2 linked regions of the Alligator mississippiensis genome follow. The protein of the gene in region 2 interacts with the protein of the main gene of each other region in a pairwise test. Links are inferred from orthologs where the notes say so. Each region holds a gene or a part of one and is shown on either strand. Other genes may lie near its edges.

Evidence for each region.
Region 1: the proteins of TRAF3IP1 (region 2) and CCNA2 interact in a two-hybrid assay, tested with the Homo sapiens proteins (2 studies listed by BioGRID and IntAct). The link is inferred for Alligator mississippiensis from reciprocal best matches to the Homo sapiens genes TRAF3IP1 and CCNA2.

The regions. Positions count from the first base shown.
Region 1 is NC_081825.1:114,576,007-114,585,653, forward strand, and holds the start of CCNA2 (cyclin-A2), read right to left. Parts: upstream 4,782-9,647; 5' UTR 4,687-4,781; coding exon 4,558-4,686; intron 4,474-4,557; coding exon 4,251-4,473; intron 2,177-4,250; coding exon 2,064-2,176; intron 1,658-2,063; coding exon 1,434-1,657; intron 853-1,433; coding exon 648-852; intron 1-647. UniProt on the Homo sapiens protein: Cyclin which controls both the G1/S and the G2/M transition phases of the cell cycle. Functions through the formation of specific serine/threonine protein kinase holoenzyme complexes with the cyclin-dependent protein kinases CDK1 or CDK2.
Region 2 is NC_081827.1:183,387,183-183,397,502, forward strand, and holds the start of TRAF3IP1 (TRAF3-interacting protein 1), read right to left. Parts: upstream 4,210-10,320; 5' UTR 4,209-4,209; coding exon 4,002-4,208; intron 2,753-4,001; coding exon 2,684-2,752; intron 1-2,683.

The DNA of each region.
Region 1 (9,647 bases), on a different chromosome or scaffold from region 2:
GTTGTACCGACTCCCTCCCTGGGACCAAATGGTAAGCTTAAACACAACAGTAGCAGATGAACCAGCATGTACTTTACTTTTAAGACTAAACCAGTATTTCAATGCAAGTGTGTACCAGCAATAGGCAGCTGATTTTAGACCACTACTGTAATAGTCCAAGTGTTCCCTCAGATTGTTAGATCATCAAACGTGCAAATCGCCAACTCTAGGTTGGCACATATGCCTAGAATGAAGCTCCCATGAGGCTCCCCAGTGGCATTGACCCAATTTTGCCTAGCGTCCACACGTCAGCCAACGATGGCTCTCTGAAGTAGTTACCAGTTTTAGTATGGTTTGGGACAGTGGCATAAAGCTGTAAGAGTTAACTGTCACCCTACTAATAGTTAGTTACCAAGGGTTTTTACTAGCAAATGCTTCAGAGATACAAAATGCCAACTGCCCCCTCTGGAGATCTAACAAGGATGCAAACTTGATGTTTTAGACCTCCATATTTTCTGGTCGTTAGAACTCTTAAGAATGGGTAAATATTTGTCACCAAGTGGCATTCCTTCCTTTTCCATGGGAAAAGAAACGCCCCAACCTACTCTGAAGTACTAAGATGGAGCTTTCTGACTGCACATTGGGCTTAATGCCAGATTCACACTTACCATCGATAAACTTTCAACTTTAGCATTTGCCTGCTGGTGCAGAAAGTACTGAGTAAGGAACTGATTTATTGTTGGAGCTGCCAAGTCAAATGACAAGACTTTCAAAATTAAGTGCTCCATCCTTAATACTTGCTTCTTAGTATAGGTGTCATCTGTGATATAGACGAATTCTGCAACTTCTGGAGGGTAAATTTCTTCAAACTTTCTATGATTAGGAAGTATAAGCAACTTGTTACATACACTTAGAAAGAGGAACAGGTCTATCAACTAGTAGTTCTCTCCCTCCCACCCTAGTCCAACATAAGTTAGCAAGATAGGGAGCAACTGTTTCCTCAGAGCTCAGCTCTACTTATATAACCTATTCCTAGTACATGACTAACTTAGTATAAGTAAGTAGTTAACATTAAGTCCACACATTAAGTTCCTGTAGGTCTAAGAATCTTGGCAAACCCATAAAAATTCCAGTATGAATATGATTTCTGTTTCCTTCCACATTTTTGTAGACTATAGGGCCCAAGACTGTTCCAGAATAATACCTGGAATGTTCTAGCTACACAAGCTCTGCGGACCAGGTCAGAAGCCAGGTGCATTAGATACTAATAAATGAAAAAATCTGAGTAAATATGAAGTCATTTTCCAAAAGATTTAAAAACTTGAACATAGATATCTTAAGGCTTCTGGTCAAACAGAGTTTTGAAAGGACACAGCTTTAAGATAATCTTTCCCTTCCCCTATATGTCTCTCACACAGCCTCATTCTAAGAGCAATGATGTCAAATTAACTTACGATGCTAGCAGCATAGCTGCAGTACCCACAAGCTGAAGCTTTCCTCTCAGAACAGACATTGAAGAAAGAAATCTATCAATGTAATTTACAGCTAAATGCAGGGTTTCATTCTGTAGTTTATATTCTTCTCCTACTTCCACCAGCCAGTCCACAAGAATAGCTCTCATATTGTTTGTTATATCAGGCTGTTTCTTCATATAGTTAGATTTAGGCTTGCATTTCACCTGTTAAGGGAATTGTTAGTATATGTGAGATATTAGCACTGACCCTGGCTGAGAAGTTACCTGACCAAAAGTGCAACAAAGATGGGAGAATTTAAAAACCACCCTCCACTAACATACAAATTAAATACTTGTACTATACGTAAAGTAGAATCCAAATACTGGTGCCCAAGGTCCTTCAGAGTCCATTCTCAAGCCCTTTCTTTTATGTTCAGTGCATATTCCAGCCAGGTTTTTTTATTCTAGAAGGGCTCAACAGGAAGCTCACTTTTCTTCCCCTTTCCCCTCAGTCTGTTCTCCAATTATAAGCTCCTACTTGAGCTGCCACCCCTCCAGGGACTAGACCCACAAGCCTCACCATCCTGAGCTAAGCTGCCTTAAAAGTTTAAACAAAATCATGGCATCTTACCTCCATTTCCCTAATGTATTTATGGATATCATCAATGTAGTCTGGCACATGATTAACATTTACTCTTTCTTCCACATCTTGGATTATAGATATATCCATAATACTTGGAGAATCTAAGTGCAAGACAGTAGTCACATTAAACCTACAGAAGTTCTCAGACCGCATGGTACAGTGACTGCATTGAGCAGAACGATTATGTTGGTGACCCAGGACCTAGGGTTTTTTTTGTTTTTGGCATTTTGCCTTTTTTGAGCCACCTAGGCTGCACTAAGAACAGAGAAATGTTGCAAAGGGCTTTTTCAACTATGGGCTTTGTTGCAAAGGGCTTTTTCATCTATGGGGTGGGAGAAAGAAAAATTGGTGGAAGACGCTTCATACTAGCATAGTAAGCTATCTTCATAGGAGTATGGACCTGTACTCTGAAGTGGAGCCTGCAAGTCAGGGGACAGCCTGATGTTAGCATGTATTTTAGCTGAAGCCACAAAATTAGGCAACTGAGAAGTCTTCTGCCAGAATTTTTTAATTGGGCAGACTGTTGGACTTCTCTTGCCTTATGTTATTTTAGTGTCTACCTGAGCTACCCTAGTTTTCTAGTCAACTTGCCAGAACCATTTAGTACTTGCACAAATGGAAGTTTCCAGTGTGTATTCTAGTTTTTGCAACTTGCACTAGGTCTTTAAAGCCTTTCAGAGTTTGAAGCTCTGAGCTGCTACAGCCAGACCCTGACAAGGCTGAGAGTTCAAGAGGGCCAGCAGCTCATAAGTAACAGTAGCAAGAAGAGTGAGGAAATTCATGGGAAAGCAGATGGGTAAGGCACAGGGAAGGGATATCTGGCTGTTTCAGGGATTCAAAGCTTGTAAGTTACAGGCTAAAGGAACTGCTGGACTCAGGGAATCCCCAAAGCTGGTCTGAGTCGCATGCAGATGCACAAGCAACATTTTCATAAGTTAGCTTTTCATAAGACACCAATGAAGAACAATGACTTTAGGGACACTTGGAATATCAGTTAAAAAGAGGATATTTAGGTTGTAGAATAGTGCTCACCCATGGAGGACAGCCAAAGCAGACAATTTGCTGCAGGATCTGGGACAGAAGTTCGAAATCCTGCTCTATCCTAAACTGATTAAATCTAATACAGCATCTATCCAGATCTATCTTAGACCAAGTCCCCCCCAGTTTGAAACCGGTTTGCACATGCTAAACTTCTATTACAGCTTTACACCGTTTTCTGATCATTTGTACCAGTTTATGTGCAGTGTCTGTACCTCGCCTTATACGCCAAATAAGATTTTTAGGGGGCAGGGGAAAGGAAGCAGGGAAAAGAGAAAGTGAAAGCAAGCTTTTGTGAACCCAAGTTCATGTCATCAAATGCTGTCGTAGGGTGCTTCAGAGGGATGGTCCTGCTTGGAGCAAAGGACTGGACCAAAGGACGTGGTGAAGCTCCTTCTAGCCCTAGTTCCCTGTAGGCACCTACACAAGTGTAGAGGCTGCTCCGATGTGCTGGAACCGACTCAATTAATAGAGTCTGCTGGAATACAGCAACAGCTGTGCTCTAGCAGCCTCCTGCATCTTGTACATCAGTGTCCCTGCACTTAAAAGTGCTTTAAATTCAAGTGCTCCTGCTGCCATTTTTAAGTGCAGGGACACCGATACATGAAAGTTTGTGGTGCTTTAGTTAGAGCAGCTCTCAGAGCCACAAAGTGCAGCTCCCCCAACACATGTAGAAGAGCCCCAAGATCCTAATCTTTGTCAAGGATGGTTTGAGGGGGTTTAGCCATGGTAGCCTGAAGTCAGGGCCGACCTGCACCTGCACAGCCTGAGAGCGAGAACAGGAGTGCAAGCAGGAGGATGTGAGCAAGCCAGAGCACAAGCTTTTGTGAACCCGAGTTTGCTTCCCCAGATGCCGTCCTAGGACCGTGGAGAGAGGGACAGTCCTGCCCAAAGCAGGGGGCTACAAGTCTGGGCTGGAGCAAATGCAGTTCCTGCCCCCTCCCGTCCTGGGTGGGCACCCCCTAATCTGACCTGCGCCTGGGGGGGGGGGGGCGATAGGGGGCGCCAGCCAGAGCCAGATTTCCACAAGTCAGGTCCCCTTCCCTCGGGGGCAGAACAGCTCCCCCCGCCCCCAGCACCTGCTTGGGGGGGGGAGAGGAGGAGGTGCCGCCCGGGCCGGCCCCGCCCCGCACTCACCGCAGCTGAGGTCCATGGCGGTGTCGAGCGGCACCAGCGGCTTCCTGTCGGTGGGGAGCCCCGCGACGGGCAGTGCGGGCCCGGCGCGCTTGGCGGCCCCCACCCGGCCGCGCCGCCCCCCGTCCGGCTCGTCCACGTGCACGGCGAAGGGCTGCGGCGCGCGGACCGCCCGGGCCCCGCCATCGCCCTTGCGCGACGGGCCCGCCGCCGCCGCCGCGACCGCCTGCGGGGGGCAACGCACGTTAGCGCCGGCGGGCCGTCACCACCGCCCCCCCGCGGCCCCCCCGCCCCGTGGCGCCCCCCTTGCCTGCGGGCGCGGGCGGTTCTCGCGCAGCACCCCCAGCACCGTGCGGCTGCGGGGCACGGCGGGCGGCAGCGCCTTGCCCACGGGGGGCACGTTCTCCTGCTCCTGCTCCGGGTCCAGCTCGTCCAACATCCTGCCGCAGGTGGGGGGCGCAAGGGGCGCCGTGCGGCCTCGTCCGGAGCGTACCCGGCCGCCTCCCGCTCCGCCGCCGCGTTCAAGGAGCCCGCGACTCTTGAATCCGCCAATGAGGGACGGGGGGCGGGGCTGGCCGGGCGCCGGCCGTGACTGGGGGCGACGGAAGCCGCCGAGGATCAAGCGCGCCCTAGGAGTGAGCGGGTCCTGCTAGAGCGGCGCCGTAGCCCCACCCATGGCGGCTGCGTAGTGCCGGGGCTCTGCCCCCAGGCACCTGAGTCACTAGCCGCGCGAGGCCTCGGCGTTTGAGTCCCGGCTCTGGAGCGCGCAGCGGTGCGGGCTTGCTCTTTGCTTGCCCCGGCCCTGCGAGGCTCCCTCTTAGGGCCGGAGACGCGGTGTTGCCGGTGTAGGAGAATTACTGCATTTGTACCATAACTTCACCCCTTCTACCACTACCCCGTAGGATAATGCTTGAGGCGGCTAATTAATGTAGCATATGCAAAACCAGGAACTTTTAACTGGCTTCTAGCGGTTTGGTGTTTGTTTTTTGGGGGGGGGGAGGTTCATGGTCCAGGTCTAATTAGCCAGATCAGTTCTGAAGCCTTTAAATCATTCAAAAACTGTATGTCCGTGTCTTTTTTTGGGGGGGAGACAATGTTTCATGTTCCAAGCCAAATCAATTCCAAATCTGAGTCAGTCCAGAATCAGAAATCGCCCCCCTACGGGCAAACATCCTCCACCCGCACCTGGGGCTTCAGATGTTTCCAAAACCTTTGGAGGGCATCCTACTTGCCAGCCCAAGCCCAGAGGCTTGGGGTTCAGATGCCCCCAAGTTTCACTTGCTGTCAGCCATAAGGCCCCCCCAGCAAGCAAGGGAGGAGACTCCTATTTCCATAAACTGGGCTTAAAGCCACTGCAACCACGCCAGAAGGGCAGTTCTCTTGTGTAGCAGTTCAGGAAAATGCCTTCATGGACACAGATGCATGGTATTTTCCCTGCCAGGTTAAGCCACTACACTTGATCTAAGCCTTCAAGAGGCCTCTAGGGTTGCTGTCAGCACTTGCTATGACATCTCAAAATAGAGATGCTTCAACTTTGACACAATTCTCACTCACTGGTGACATACTGTGAGCAATATAAAGTAAATAAGACTTACCTGCATATTCATTTGCACATTTTTTCAGTGAATTATAGTTTCTCAATAAATGCAATAATTCTGAGCTTCCAATATGATAATTTCATATTTAAGACCTGGCAATGCTGCTGCAACACCACTTTAGCAGACTGGCCCAGGGCTAGCCGCATGTCACTGATGCATGTGGCCACTCATCCACTAGCACTTTTTTACACCAGGGACCCAGAACTAACCTGAGGCACCTGTTGCTTCCCTCCCCCCTCCAGTGACACATGGCCTTGTTACAAGGGCACAGAGCTTTCAGGCCTCGATTCACTGTAACCCTTCACCCCAGGGAGGGCTACGCCAACATCCTTTCCCAGGTTTCTCCATACTAAGAAATCTCAGACCTTGACTGATAAGGTGAATAGTGTATTTTAGGTCATAAATCATGGGGAATAGGATCTTTAAAAAAGAAACAACCATGTTTGTAAAGATCAGGACACTTTGGGCATTATTGTTTTGAAATCCATAGGGATATTGGAGTATGCTAGAGAGACTATGCGAGAGAAACATTAGATGGTAGGTTAGAGAACCATTAAAAACATTTAATGTTAACCTAGTGCTTGTGTGAAAGGTACAGAGCTAATTGTTTGCAAAGAGAAGTCTTTTTTTAAGGAAATTTTTCACGTCCCAAGTCAAATTACCCAGATCAGATCCAAATTCATTTGAATCGTGCAAGAACCATATGTAGCCCTGCTACCAGCAAGTATCCTCCACCTCATCCGGGGGCTTCAGATGCTTCCAAATCCATTGGCAGCCATCTTACGTGCAGGCCCAAGTCTGGAGCCCTGAGCAATCATACAGCTCTTTCATACAGCAACCAACTTTTAGATGCTAATGACCTTTGTTTGTTGCTGATTAGGGCTGGATCTGGAAAGACTTAGAGCCCAAACTATAGACAAGGGTTTAGAGTCACAAAATGACTTGGATTCTGTCACATCTAGCACTGCTTCTTCCAGTGGGTAGTACAGTTGATTCTTAACCTTTTTAGACTCAAGGCACCCCTCAGAAAAGGCCAGCTCTTAGTATTCACTCACTTATTTTTACTTTGGAAAAACAATTGGACAATCCTTCTGTTGCAGAGGAATCAGAAAGACTGCAACAGATCAGAATTCTTCTAGCACCGTGGACTCCTGTTTGAAATCTCTGAGTTTACGCTGTGAATCGTGTTTGCAGACCTAACAGTGCTAACACCCTTGAAATATCTGAGTACTTAGGAAACATTTTAGCTGCCTCCAGGGCTAGGTGATAGTTGAGCAGGTTTTGACGATCTAAACTTTGGATGTGGGCACTTAATGTTCTTCTGTGGATCTAGCTCAAAACTTCCACTAACTTCAAAATGTCAAGTCCTTTCCCTCCTTTGATGTTTTACCATTCATTCCCAGTGACAGCAACCAGAGTTAAAGCATTACAGATTTGATCCTGGAAGGTGCTGATGACTTTGGCCCACCCAACAAAAGGCTATTCACCCCTAGTGAACAAAGCATTTAGACACACACGTACATTTCACTGCCTTCAAATGAAAACACATACTCAAGTGCTTTGCTCAAAACAGATGAACTTTAAGTATGTGCATTAAGGCTACAATTCAGCAAAGCATGTAACTATTTTTCAAGATCAGAGTTTGGGTGTTTCACACCTCGAAGGATCATGTTCTTCTGCTTTGTCTGAAGACTGAAGGGATATACCATTATAGGCAACAGGCTATTGCCAATTCCATTATTACCCGCTCCACCAACTGGCTAGCTTCTTTTGCGGGGAGGGGAGTGCACAATAATTTTAGTTCGTATTTCTGTGCCTCTTTATTTAATCATCACCATAATTCACTGCAAGAAAAAAGGATCTATTTTCTGCTAGATCAAAAGCCAACTACTCTACAGACACACGTAAGCTGGGCTTCCTTGTCCAACACAATTTAGATTATATAAAGATCAAACACAACGCATTTTTTCTGTGAAGATGAAGAAATAACAGCATAGTTCAGAGCCCTGCAAATTATACTGTCAAACCTAAGTGTTAAGATGAATCATACTGGATGGTAGATCTTACGGGAAAATACAAATGCAGCGAGCTGCAGTGTTGGAAACTGTAGATCAGGTCAGCCCATCCTTTCAGCAGCTGGGGCCTGAACACTGTGGGCTGCACTAGAGGCCACATCAACAATGCTGCTACTGCATAGCGCTCCAATACCTCGTCCCCATGCATCCTCCTCCACTGCTGCACTGGGTGCATGCCCCCTCCCCCACACCACTGCAGGATCAGCACTCTTGACAGCAGTGAGCCCAAAGCACTGATGGATAGCTTCTGATGCCTTCCAGCTGAGCAGCCCAGCTTAATTGTCATTAAAGACTCGATATCAACTACCAGGGTTTTCCCTTGAGATCTCTTGTTTTGTGAGAACATAACTGGACTCTTCCATCTTGGGGGTGAGTTTCAATGCAGGCACAACTATTCTGTTTGTAGAAGTCTTGCAAGATAATCAGTTAATCATTTTCTATTTGGCTCTTGAACTATTCCTTTTCCCAGAATGTAGAGCACAAGGATAAACAGTGAACAAAACAAAAGTAAAAGATCCTAGCATTTTGGCATCTGAAAAATACTAAGGTTGAATTCATCTTTTTTAGAACTGACTGGGTTTTACTAAGTATATTACAGAAGAGTAAAGGGTGTAGGTTGTAGCCGTGTTGGTCGAAGGACATAGGCAGACAAGGTTCCTTGGGTGAATCTGATATCTTTTATTAGACCAACACAAATAGTTGGAGAATAGTTATTAAGCAAGCTTTCGGGTTCAAAAACCCTTCGTCAGGCTAAGGAAGCTTCAGCAGTTGGTGTGTGCTCTTTCTGGATGGAATGAAAAGTAAAGAAGCCAGGGGCTGGGCTGGTATGCATACAAGACGGGTAGTCAGTGAAAATGTAGACTGAGGAGTCAATGGGTGAGAGACAGGCGGGGGGCGGGAAGAGAAGGGGGATGAATAGTGGAGAGATACCTGGGGAGTCAGATGTCAGGCAGGTTATAATGTGTCATAAATCCAATGTCTGTATTTAGTCCGTGATTTTTAGTATCCAGGAAGATACTTTTCATTCCATCCAGGAAGAGCACACACCAGCTCCTGAAACTTCCTTAGCCTGAAGAAGGGTTTTTGAACCTGAAAGCTTGCTTAATAACTATTCTCCAACTATTTGGGTTGGTCTAATAAAAGATATCAGATTCACCCAAGGAACCTTGTCTACAGAAGAGTAAAGACATTTTAAACACTATACAACACCCCAAATGCCTTGGCAGGGATATTTCCCCTTCAAATTTATTCTAGTTATCAGAAAATGTCACCAACTAAACAACTGGAAATAGTTTATCTGTTTGTTTTTTTAAATCCCAAAATCAATTCAAAATTAAAGAACTGTGAAACATGTTTTTGTTTTCTCATCATTTGGTACAACTGCCAGGACACTATATAATCGTTTACTGCTTTGTTACACTCAATCAACTGAACTCCATTCCTACCAAGCTTTGTGCTTGTACTAATAGGATTTATGAACACAAGCTGGGAACAGCCAGGGCCTTGCTTTTGTTTCAGTGGGCATTTCATAAAAACAGCAGAGAAGATTGTAAAGAAAAATGTGACAAACAAAGTATTGTGACATGGACAATCAGGAAGGTGTTGAGGCTCTATTTTTTTCTCTTCTAGCTGAGGGGCAGCCTGACTGTGCAGTTGAGTAGTTAAAACACTCACCAGCAAGGGAAGAGGTTTCATCTGTTGCTCAAACTGGACCGCACCTGAGAGAA
Region 2 (10,320 bases):
CAATCCCCGCTGCCCCCCACTACATGGGGGGCTCTGCACGAGCCCCCCAACCTCCCCCCAAATCTCCAGTCCCCCTCATGGCTGCCTTGCCCACCCCAGCTCTGGCCCTTTAAGAAAAAAAAAACCTAGAAAAACCCTAAACTCACCATTCCTGCCAGCAGGGGGCAATCCCCACTGCCCCTGCCACATGGGGGGCTCTGCATGAGCCCCCCAAAGCCCCAAGTCCACTATAAGAGCAGTGAGTCCTGGGGTTTTTCTTGGGGTTTTTCTTTTCTTTAGGGGCTGGAGCTGCGGTGAGTGGGGCAGCCATGGCGGGGCCTGGGAGAGCAGGGCGGGTCAGGGGGCTCGTGCAGAGCTCCCCATGCAGCATGGGGCAGTGGGAATTCCACCCCCGACCTGGCAGCACACGGTGAGTGGGGCTTTTTTTTAAAGCACCTGGAGCTGGGGCAGGCGGGGCAGCCATGGGGGGACTGGGGGAGCAGGCAGGGGTCAGTGAGAGCTGGGGGAGCAGGCAGGAGATGGGGCCTGGCAGGGGTCCCACCATGGTTCCCTCCCCCCTCCCCTACTTACCAGCTCTGACTCCAGGTCCAGCTCCCTGCTTCAGCAGGCAGGGGCTGCCCGAATCATTGAAGCTCTCTGAATCTTTTCCTAAGATTCAGAGCGCTTCAAATCAATTCGGACCTTTTAATTGGTCCCAATTCAATTTGGATTAAGAGATTCAGCCACTGAATCAGGCAGAATCTCCTCTGAATCAAATCAACACCCAAAGCTTTGCACAGCCCTACCAAAAACCATCCTCTTTTTGAAATTAAGCCATCATTGTGGCTCTTCCCAGGTCTGTAGCCCCATGACTGTCATCAGCAACCCCATGAGCATCATCCTCATATGCTACAAGAAGTTAGCCACTCCAGGAGGAAGCATGCATGTCATTCAATATGAAGTTCAACTTGCTATTCCCTGCAGATGCTGTTGGAACACTTTTCACTGTCCTTCAGCGTATCACAATTTAAAGCTCCCGCAGGAACTCTTAACTAGGAATAGAGCAACAGCTGAATCTTTATCCTGTTCTCTGTTTTGAAACAAAAAGCTAGGAATTCAAAGCACAGAAGTTCTCTGAGTACAGACAAAGCCATTTAAGTCATGTCTGACTAACTAGGCAGTGATTTAAATCATGTGATCTGCCCAGGTCATTTGCCCTCTCCCACTGATCTCAATATTGAAGGCACTGCTTAAGCTGCATTAAATATACCAATCAGGTTACAGACCAATGTCCTTGCCATTCTCAAAGTCAGATGATTCAATCAACCAACTGCCAGTCTGTTTCTCCACTGCTAACAGAAGCCTTGAAACTATAAAACAAACAGCTGTGAAACAATGCCAGTGCTCTTGTCTACCAAGCCTGATCTGCTGCTGAGCCATACAACTGACACTGCTGCACAGCACTTACAGCACTTGAAATGGGTATCAAGGGTTAACCATCCATCATGCATATCAGGCAAGTAGCTGTTTGCCAAAAAAGCCTATTATAAGTGTTAGGTTTGTAATGATGGCGATTCATTCATCTTGCCCACTTCCCTTCAAGGACTTCAGAAACCCACTATTTTAGGGATGAGGGAACAGTGAGATGGTTCCTCTCCAGAGATCAATACAACTTCAAGGATGCAGTACAGCTCAAATGTGAACAAAGACTAAAGCAATCATTGGAACAGCATGAGTAGGGTGGCCATATTGCATCACTGGTCCTTACATGGGTACCATCTGCCCAAGAGTTCAATTACCTATGGAAGACTTCGCCTTAAAGGGAAATGGCACAAAAATAACTACTCTCCATAGACAGAAAATCTGTCAGTAGGCACAACTTCCCCACTTGCATGTGGAGACAAACTGAAAAAGCACATCTCATAATATGGGTAGAATAAAGCACTTTGTGCATTGTATATGCATCTCTGGAAATATCATTAATTCACTGCAGAGAGCAGTGCTAGTTACAACAGTGAAAGTAAAGAGCTGATACAATTTTTGTTTGTCTTTTCAAGCTGTAGTAAAATTGACCTCTCAGAACAGAAAAGAGCACACACTCAGATAATACACTTCACTGTACAACCCCCCGCAAGATCACATTGCTGTAAACATAAAAAGGATTTGCCATTCTTTCATACAACGTATGTTGTTATGCAACTCAAAACACTTATACTTATTTTTTGAATCATCCTTAGTTATTGTATACGCATTAAAATATCAACAAAAACAGAGACAAACCATTGGGGCACGTAAAACAAAACATAACAATCCCCTCCTTAGCCCTAGAAAATACAGTCTTAGAGGAAAGTTGTCTGTGGATGTATAATGGGCAAAAAAGAACCTAAAAAGCAGAAGTCATAGTTTTTAAGTTATTATTTTTAATGGTGTTGTATCTTTAACTTCCAGTATGCTCAGTGCAGAAATGAAAAATCATTTTGTATCTCTACAGCATGTAGCACCATAGGTCTCTTGTCCACAATCGGGGAATTTAGGTCCTGCCACAAGACACCATCTCATATATTCAGAAAAGCTACATTTGAGGCTATTCCCCCAAAACATTAACTGTAAAAGAAAGATAGGTTTGTTACATGAAACTGGGTATGACAACACAGGAGTAACTGCCCATGCTGGGTATAATGAAATAAGGAAATTTCATACCCACCTTAACATTATCAGATTTCATCTCAAAGTCTGTGTATAGCCCCTTCATGAAACCTGTCACTCTAATTACCTTCAAAACAAAGGAAAGGTAAATTACTGAGAACAGCTAGAAAACCTCAGCAAAAACACTATTTTCTTGTATAAGGTTCCAGCAGGCAAATCTGTTAGCTTGACTCACTACCTGAAGCAGAGTTGGAAAGAGGATAGAGCTAGACTGTGCTCGGTGCTGGCAGATGACAGGACAAGAAGCAACATTCTCAAGTTGTAGTAAGGGAAGTTTAGGTTGGATATCAGGAAAAACTTTCTTACAAGGAGGGTAATAAAGCACTGGAACAGGCTACCCAGAGAGGTGATGAAATCTTCATCCTTGCAGGTTTTCAAGACCAAGCTAGATAAAGCCGTGCCTGGGATGATCTAGTTGAGGATGCTCCTGCTTCGAGCAGGGGGTTGGATTTGATGACCTCCTGAGGTCCTTTCCAACCCTCATTTTCTATTATTCTATTTGGAGGGAAGTCAGTCATTCGCTCACGTCAACATATTCATTGAAAGGTGTCGGTCAGTATTTTGTATTCATTTAATTTTAGGGCAGCATGACATTCTCTGAAGAATAAATTCGGACACATTTCCCCAGGTGCTTAACATCTCACTCACTTTAGTCTGGAAAATTCCTGCATTCACTTGTTCACAGGAACTCATGACTTTGACCCACAGGCCTGGGTGTTTTCAACCCAGTCCTGATTCCTCCTGCTGCTGCCACACCTATTGGTACCTGCCTTGTTTCTAACAGAGGGTTTTACCAAGTCTCTTTTTTTCTTTCCTTTTCAGGTGGGAACAGAAAAAAAGAACTAATGCGAATATCTAACATCTCCTTCAGTGAAGGGGCTCTGCACTTCCAGGTCAGCGCTGGTGCACCATTATCAGGCAGCACGGAGGTTGGGGGGGGGGGGGGGGGAGGATGGGGCTGAATGGGACCTCCCCTGTAACAGTTTATGGGGTGGAAACCGGCAGGTGAAGGGATGGGATGGGGGCCACAGAACAAGCTGGTGGAGGACCCTACTCTCCAGTGAGGAACTGAGTCTCCCACGGGCAGTACCAGGCTTCAGAGCAGTGGTGGGGGGGAGCCACAGAGTTGCCCCGCACCTCCCAGGCCCATCCTCTGCTGTTCTCCTGCTCTGCTGCCCGCCCCGAGCCGCACTCCGAGCTGGCTGCCAGGCTGGCGGCAAGGGGGAAGCCCCCAGGCCCAGGCCCTTGCAGGGCCCCAGACCCGCAGGGGGCGGGGCCCGCCCCGAGCACCCCCGTGGCCCCGCCCCCCGCGGCACCTGGCAACGGGGACGCGAAGACGGGGCGAAGAGGCCCACCTCGCCGATGACGTCGTGGAGGTAGCGAAAGGGCGGCTTGCAGAGCAGCCGGTCGGTGAGGGGCGGCTTGCGGATGACCCGGCCTAGGGACTCCTGTGTGCGCCGCACCACCGCCGCGTTCATCGCGGCCCACAGCGCCCGCCCCGCCGGCTCCGAGCCTCCCGGCATGCACCGCGCCAGGTCCCGCCCCCTCGCTGCGCACGCGCGGCTCCGCATTCCGCCGTTGCTACCCGCACCGCGGCCCTAGCAACGGCCGCCCCGGCGTCTGCGTGCGCGAGGGGTGTGTCTGTGCAATGATGTCAGCCCTGGTAAGGTTAATAATAAAAAAAGCGTCCAAAATATATGATAATTTTTGAGGCACCCACTTGATGCAATTGGACGCAAAACCCAAGTTACGAGTCTTAAGCAACACTCAGGGGCTTCTTTGTTTTGTTTTAATTTAATTTGTATCCGAGGTCAAATTAGACAAAACTAATTCCAAATCCAAGAGTCCAGAACCATAAGTGGCCATACTACTGGCAAACATCCTCCACCCGCACCTGGGGCTTCAGGTGTTTCCAAAACCTTTGGTGGGCATCCTACTTGCAGGCCCAAGCCCAGTGGTTTGGGGTTCGGATGCCCCCAAGTTTTGCTTGTCCTTAGCCATACGGCCGTCAGAGCAAACAAGGGAGGGGACTCCTATGTCCATAAACGGCTTAAACCCGCTGCACCTCAGTGGGTACCGAGCCACGCCAGAAGAGCAGCTCTCTGCCAGGTGGTTCAGGAAAGCTGCCTTCTTGGACACAGATACATGGTATTTCCCCTGCCAGGGTCAGAAGCCACTACGCTTGATCTGAGCCTTCACGAGGCCGCACTTTGGGGTGACTCCTTACCTGGAAATAAAGAACAGCCCCCACTTTCATGACCCAATTCTCACTCACTCACTGGGACTTAGAGTGAGCAATTTAAAGTCAAGGAAAACACAACTTAATTGCATACTTATTTGCATATTTGTCAATTGTTTTCCAGCAAATGCAATCATTTTGAGCTTCCAACATGATAACTTCATATTTAAGACTCGCAACAGTGGCCACAGCTCACCCAGGCTACCCAGAGACTGCCCCTGAGCAGTATCTTGGGGGCAGTCTCTTGGAGGCACCTCAGGCTGGGCCAGAGGTGGCCATGATAGGGCCCCTGGGTGCTACCCCTGAGTCTGGCCTTAACCCACATGTGGCACATGCCAGGCCACTCTCTGCCCACAGAGGGACATTTGCCACAGCAGGCACCCACATAGCACACACCACATCTCCCAGCCTGCTCTCTCACCCCAAACTCAGTTGGGGTTGTTGGGGGAAGAGAAGGCTGGAGACGTTTCCACACCACTCCTGGAGCTTTCCTCGGCAGACAGCGCACGCTCTGACCCCAAGAAATGCGCTAGTTACCTTAAAACTATCTTAAGCAAGTCTTGCTATCTGTCCCCATGAGAAAACAGGGTCTCATGGACATAGGATTTTGAAAGGCCAGGAGGGGAGGGAGTGCAGATGCTGAGGTGCATCGATTCATTGTGTATAAAACAACACTGATTTTTCTCCAGTTAAAAATAAGCTAGAACCTTTACTAACATGCGAGGGGCTCAAGGCTGTATTATTCCATTTGACTGAAGCAAGAACAAATATTACTTCATTCGAATAATATAACTTCACCGGAACCAGCAAGGAACTCTCTGTAGTGAGGAGTTGGCATCCGGCTCCAACTACAAATGGCACACATGGCGGAGCCTGAACAGATTGAGAGTGGGTCTCGCAAGATGCAACTCTCTCATGAAATCATGGGACCTCTATGCAACCAACATGTTTCTCAGGAGAAGCAAACAGCGGATCATCTGCTGAGATGCCCTGTGGCACCACAATGTACCCTATAAGGTCTGGCAACACCAACACCAGAAGCAGCGACCTGTGCAGAATACTGGGAACAGACCAGGTTGGATTGGAGACGCAACAAAGAAGTCTTCATTGGAATGAGTTAAAAACAGTTTGGGGGGCTGTGAAATAGGAGTTTTGTTACCAGGAGCAGCAAATTGCATAACAAAAGCTAGCTTGCTTGGTGGACCATCAAGACCATTAAAAAGAAGGAAGAGCCATTAACACTTGTTGAATGAAGAATTTAGAAGGACTCTGGTAGATTATAATGAGCCATAAAGTCAAGTGACTTCCTCACTGCTGCCTGACTAGAAATGCTGCTGCTGCTGCCACTGCCAGGCAATTGGTTTTAAACTTTGGATGGACCAGGAAACAAACAGGGAGGAAGGGAGTGCAATGCACCAGTTCATCCCCCTCCACCTGCCACTGAGTGCAGTGCAGTTGTCCAGTCATGGTCGATTGGTGCCTCCTGAGTTAGGGGGGCACTTGCCCCCCCAGTGGCCAGTCAGCGACCGAGGGGGGGGGGTCCCCCTGTGGCCAATCGCGCCAACCCAGAAGTGGCGCGTCGACCCCTGGGGGGTAGGGGGGAACTGCAGGGATTGCTTCTCCTGGCGCCCTCACTCTCTGGTCAGTGCTCTCGGGGGGGGAGCACCAGAGCTCTTGCCTGCCCCCCCAGCTCATTGCCTAAGCGGGAAATGGTGGCTGTCAGGGTGTACACCAGCGCTGTCAGGGGGTGCACATGCACCCCTGTGCACCCCCTACTTGTCGCCACTGTGTCCAATGACCCTTTGTTCCCAAACTGTTTTTATACCTTTTGTTACTTGCATATTCATTATTTTTATAGCTATTATTACTACTATTACTACTGGCTATTTACAGATTATTTATACACCCATACCTGCGTACCTTGCTTATCACACATCCTCTCATTCTACACATACTTTTCCCCACTGTCATTGACACTGTTTATGCTTTGAGAAAATTTGTGGTTGCATGCTCAGCTTTAACCAGAGTGACCTCCTCACCAGCTCAGTTCCTATACAACACCATGCAGGAGTTTTATTGTTACACCCAGACATGATCCCCCCCCACCCCACACACACTTTCCCCCAGTCCTGGACTGGCTGGAGCAAGATGTGCACTGGGTCTAGTCTAGGGGAGTAAAGGGCAAGTCTGTGGGCCTGATATGGCCCACAGGGCCAGCCACACACCATTCTTTTGGCCCTGTAGATCAGCCCAGAAGGCTGGATGAGTGACACTCCTGGACTACACCCATTCCATATGGACAGCAAAGGAGGGCAATAGTCAGAGCCCACAGGATCAGAACAGCTGTTTTAAAATGTGGGTACCACAGGCATAGGAAGGCAGGAGGCAGAGGGGATAAGCCTGGGCACCAGTATACAGCTCCAGCAGAAGTCCACGAACTTGGTGCACATACTCCACAATCCAGGCTGGCTGCTACAGCAGTGGTCACAGTCCCTGCCTGCCCACAGAAGGGGAATGGGCAACATTCAACACTCTGACAGGAAGCCCAACTCCTGGCAGGGTTACCAGGCCGCAGTCCCCTCTGTAACCTCAGCAGAATCCAGCTCTGGACTGGAGAACAATCTAGGCAGGTATCCCATGGCTGAATAGGAAGACCTCTTTCCATGGCTTTTGCACTCCAGAAAAGGAGAGTGCAAGGAGAGATTGTGGTTTCCTGCTGATGCAAAGTGTTGCTACAGTGTATATTTCTTCAATAAAGTGCCTTCCCACTCAAGGTTGTGCTTACCTGCTGCAACTGTAACAGGGAATAGCTTTAGGTGAAGAGCTGTGCAGTCAGTCTGCCTAGACTTTCCCAGGAGCTTTCTCTAGTCACTATTTAAGTGCTTGGCACCATCTCTGGGGGCAGTAGGGCTCTCTGGACAACAGTTATGTTGAAGCTGCCTAAGGCCACTGAGTTAGGGTGAGGGTTGCAACCATGAGGGTTTGAAGAGAGAGAGTTAAGAGTGGAGGCAATAAGGGAATCCAGTAATGGCTGCTTAAATCACGCTGATAAGGATAGAGATATGGTTCCAGTTGTTATACATCTCAGAGCTGGGGTGAAGAGTGGGTGAAGTGGTAGAGCTGCAGGGGTTAACACAGATCTCACTTATCCCTCACAACTAACGCACACCCCAAACAGGGATCCAAAGCCCCTGCTCACCCCATCCCTGAATTCCCAGGAGCCACAGAGACCAAATATCCTGGCTGTACAGGCTGGACTTGGCCTGTGGGCCACATGTTTGACACTCCCGATATTGGGTAAAACATGAGGCAAAAAGATAGCCTGGTTTGTTAACCATCTATTTGTGAGTGAATTATTAAACATATTTATGAGTGAATGCAGCTATAGGGAGGAATGAAAACTTTTCATTCCATCCAGGAAGAGCACACACCAACTGCTGAAGCTTCCTTAGCCTGACGAAGGGTTTTTGAACCCGAAAGCTTGCTTAATAACTATTCTCCAACCATATAGGTTGGTCTAATAAAAGATATCAAATTCACCCAAGGAACCTTGTCTGCCTATGTCCTTAGACCAACACGGCCACAACCTAAACCCCTACAGCTATAGGGATAATTTAAATTATTTAAAATGAGTAATTCAAAGGCCAGATAAAATGCATCCATCTATACCATCCTAGGCAAAGTCTAGGATCCTAGGGGTTGATGTTGTATACTTAGACTTCAGGAAGGCCTTTGATATGGTATCCCACACCATACTGGTAAACAAGTTAAGAGGCTGTGACTTGGATGACTACACAGTCCGGTGGGTGGCAATTGGCTAGAGGGTCGCACCCAGAGAGTCGTAGTGGATGGGTTGGTATCGACCTGGAAGGGTGTGGGCAGTGGGGTCCCGCAGGGCTCGGTCCTTGGACCGATACTCTTCAATATCTTCATCAGTGACTTAGACGAGGGAGTGAAGTGTACTCGGTCCAAGTTTGCGGATGACACAAAACTGTGGGGAGAAGTGGACACACCGGAGGGCAGAGAACAACTACAAGCAGTTGGACATGTGGGCAGAAAACAACAGAATGCAATTCAACAAGGAGAAATGCAAAGTGCTGCACCTAGGGAGGAGAAATGTCCAGCACACCTACAGCCTAGGGAATGACCTGCTTGGTGGAACGGAAGCAAAAAGGGATCTTGGAGTCCTAGTGGACTCCAAGATGAGCATGAGTTGGCAGTGTGACGAAGCCATCAGAAAAGCTAATGGCACTTCATCGTACAGCAGCAGATGCATGACGAACAGATCCAAGGAGGTGATACTTCCCCTCTATCGGGCTCTGGTCAGACCGCAGTTGGAATACTGCGTGCAGTTTTGGGCGCCACACTTCAAGAGGGATGTGGATAACCTGGAGAGGGTCCAAGAAGGGCCACTCGTATGGTTAAGGGCTTGCAGGCCAAGCTCTATGAGGAGAGACTGGGGCACCTGGACCTCTTCAGCCTCCGCAAGAGAAGGTTGAGAGGCGACCTTGTGGCTGCCTGTAAGTTCATCACGGGGGCACAGAAGGGAACTGGTGAGGTTTTATTCACCAAGGCGCCCCGGGGGTTACAAGAAATAATGGCCACAAGCTAGCAGAGAGCAGATTAAGATTAGACATTAGGAAGAACTTCTTCACAGTTCAAGTGGCCAAGGTCTGGAACGGGCTCCCAAGGGAGGTGGTGCTCTCCCCTACCCTGGGGGTCTTCAAGAGGAGGTTAGATAAGCATCTAGCTGGGGTCATCTAGATCCAGCACTCTTTCCTGCCTATGCAGGGGGTCGGACTCGATGATCTATTGAGGTCCCTTCCGACCCTAGCATCTATGAATCTATACCAGAAGAAGTTACTCATCTTCATCTGCTTTGAGATCCACGTGGGACTTCACACTGCTCCAATACTGGGTTATTTCTTGTGTGTGATATGGTTAAGAGAAGTTTCCCTAGGACTTTCAAGTCCACAAGGGCTTTGTTTTCCCCCAGCTGCACTCAGCAAGAGTTTGGGTCATGAAATTCATACCAGAACTACATTTCTTTGATTAATTCCACTTGGAGGGCATAATTGCTATTTTCCCTCTTTCCCCACAACTCAGCTTAATACAAAATGATTATCTTTATGTTTCTCTACATGGGAACCAAGGGAAAGGTTGAATTACTGTTATGGATTTTTTTTTCAGCAAGCAAATTAATCACTCTGCAAGCACACCATAAAGTACCATAGCAGCAAATACTATGCATTCAGAGATGAGACATGCTGGGCTTTGTGGTTCCAGGATAGATAGTTCCTGTTCCTTCTGATCATTTACATTCCCTTTCTGTACAAAACTTTTAAAAAAGGTTTTTCCCTTATCTTTAATTACTTGAGGTGTTTATGTATGAGACT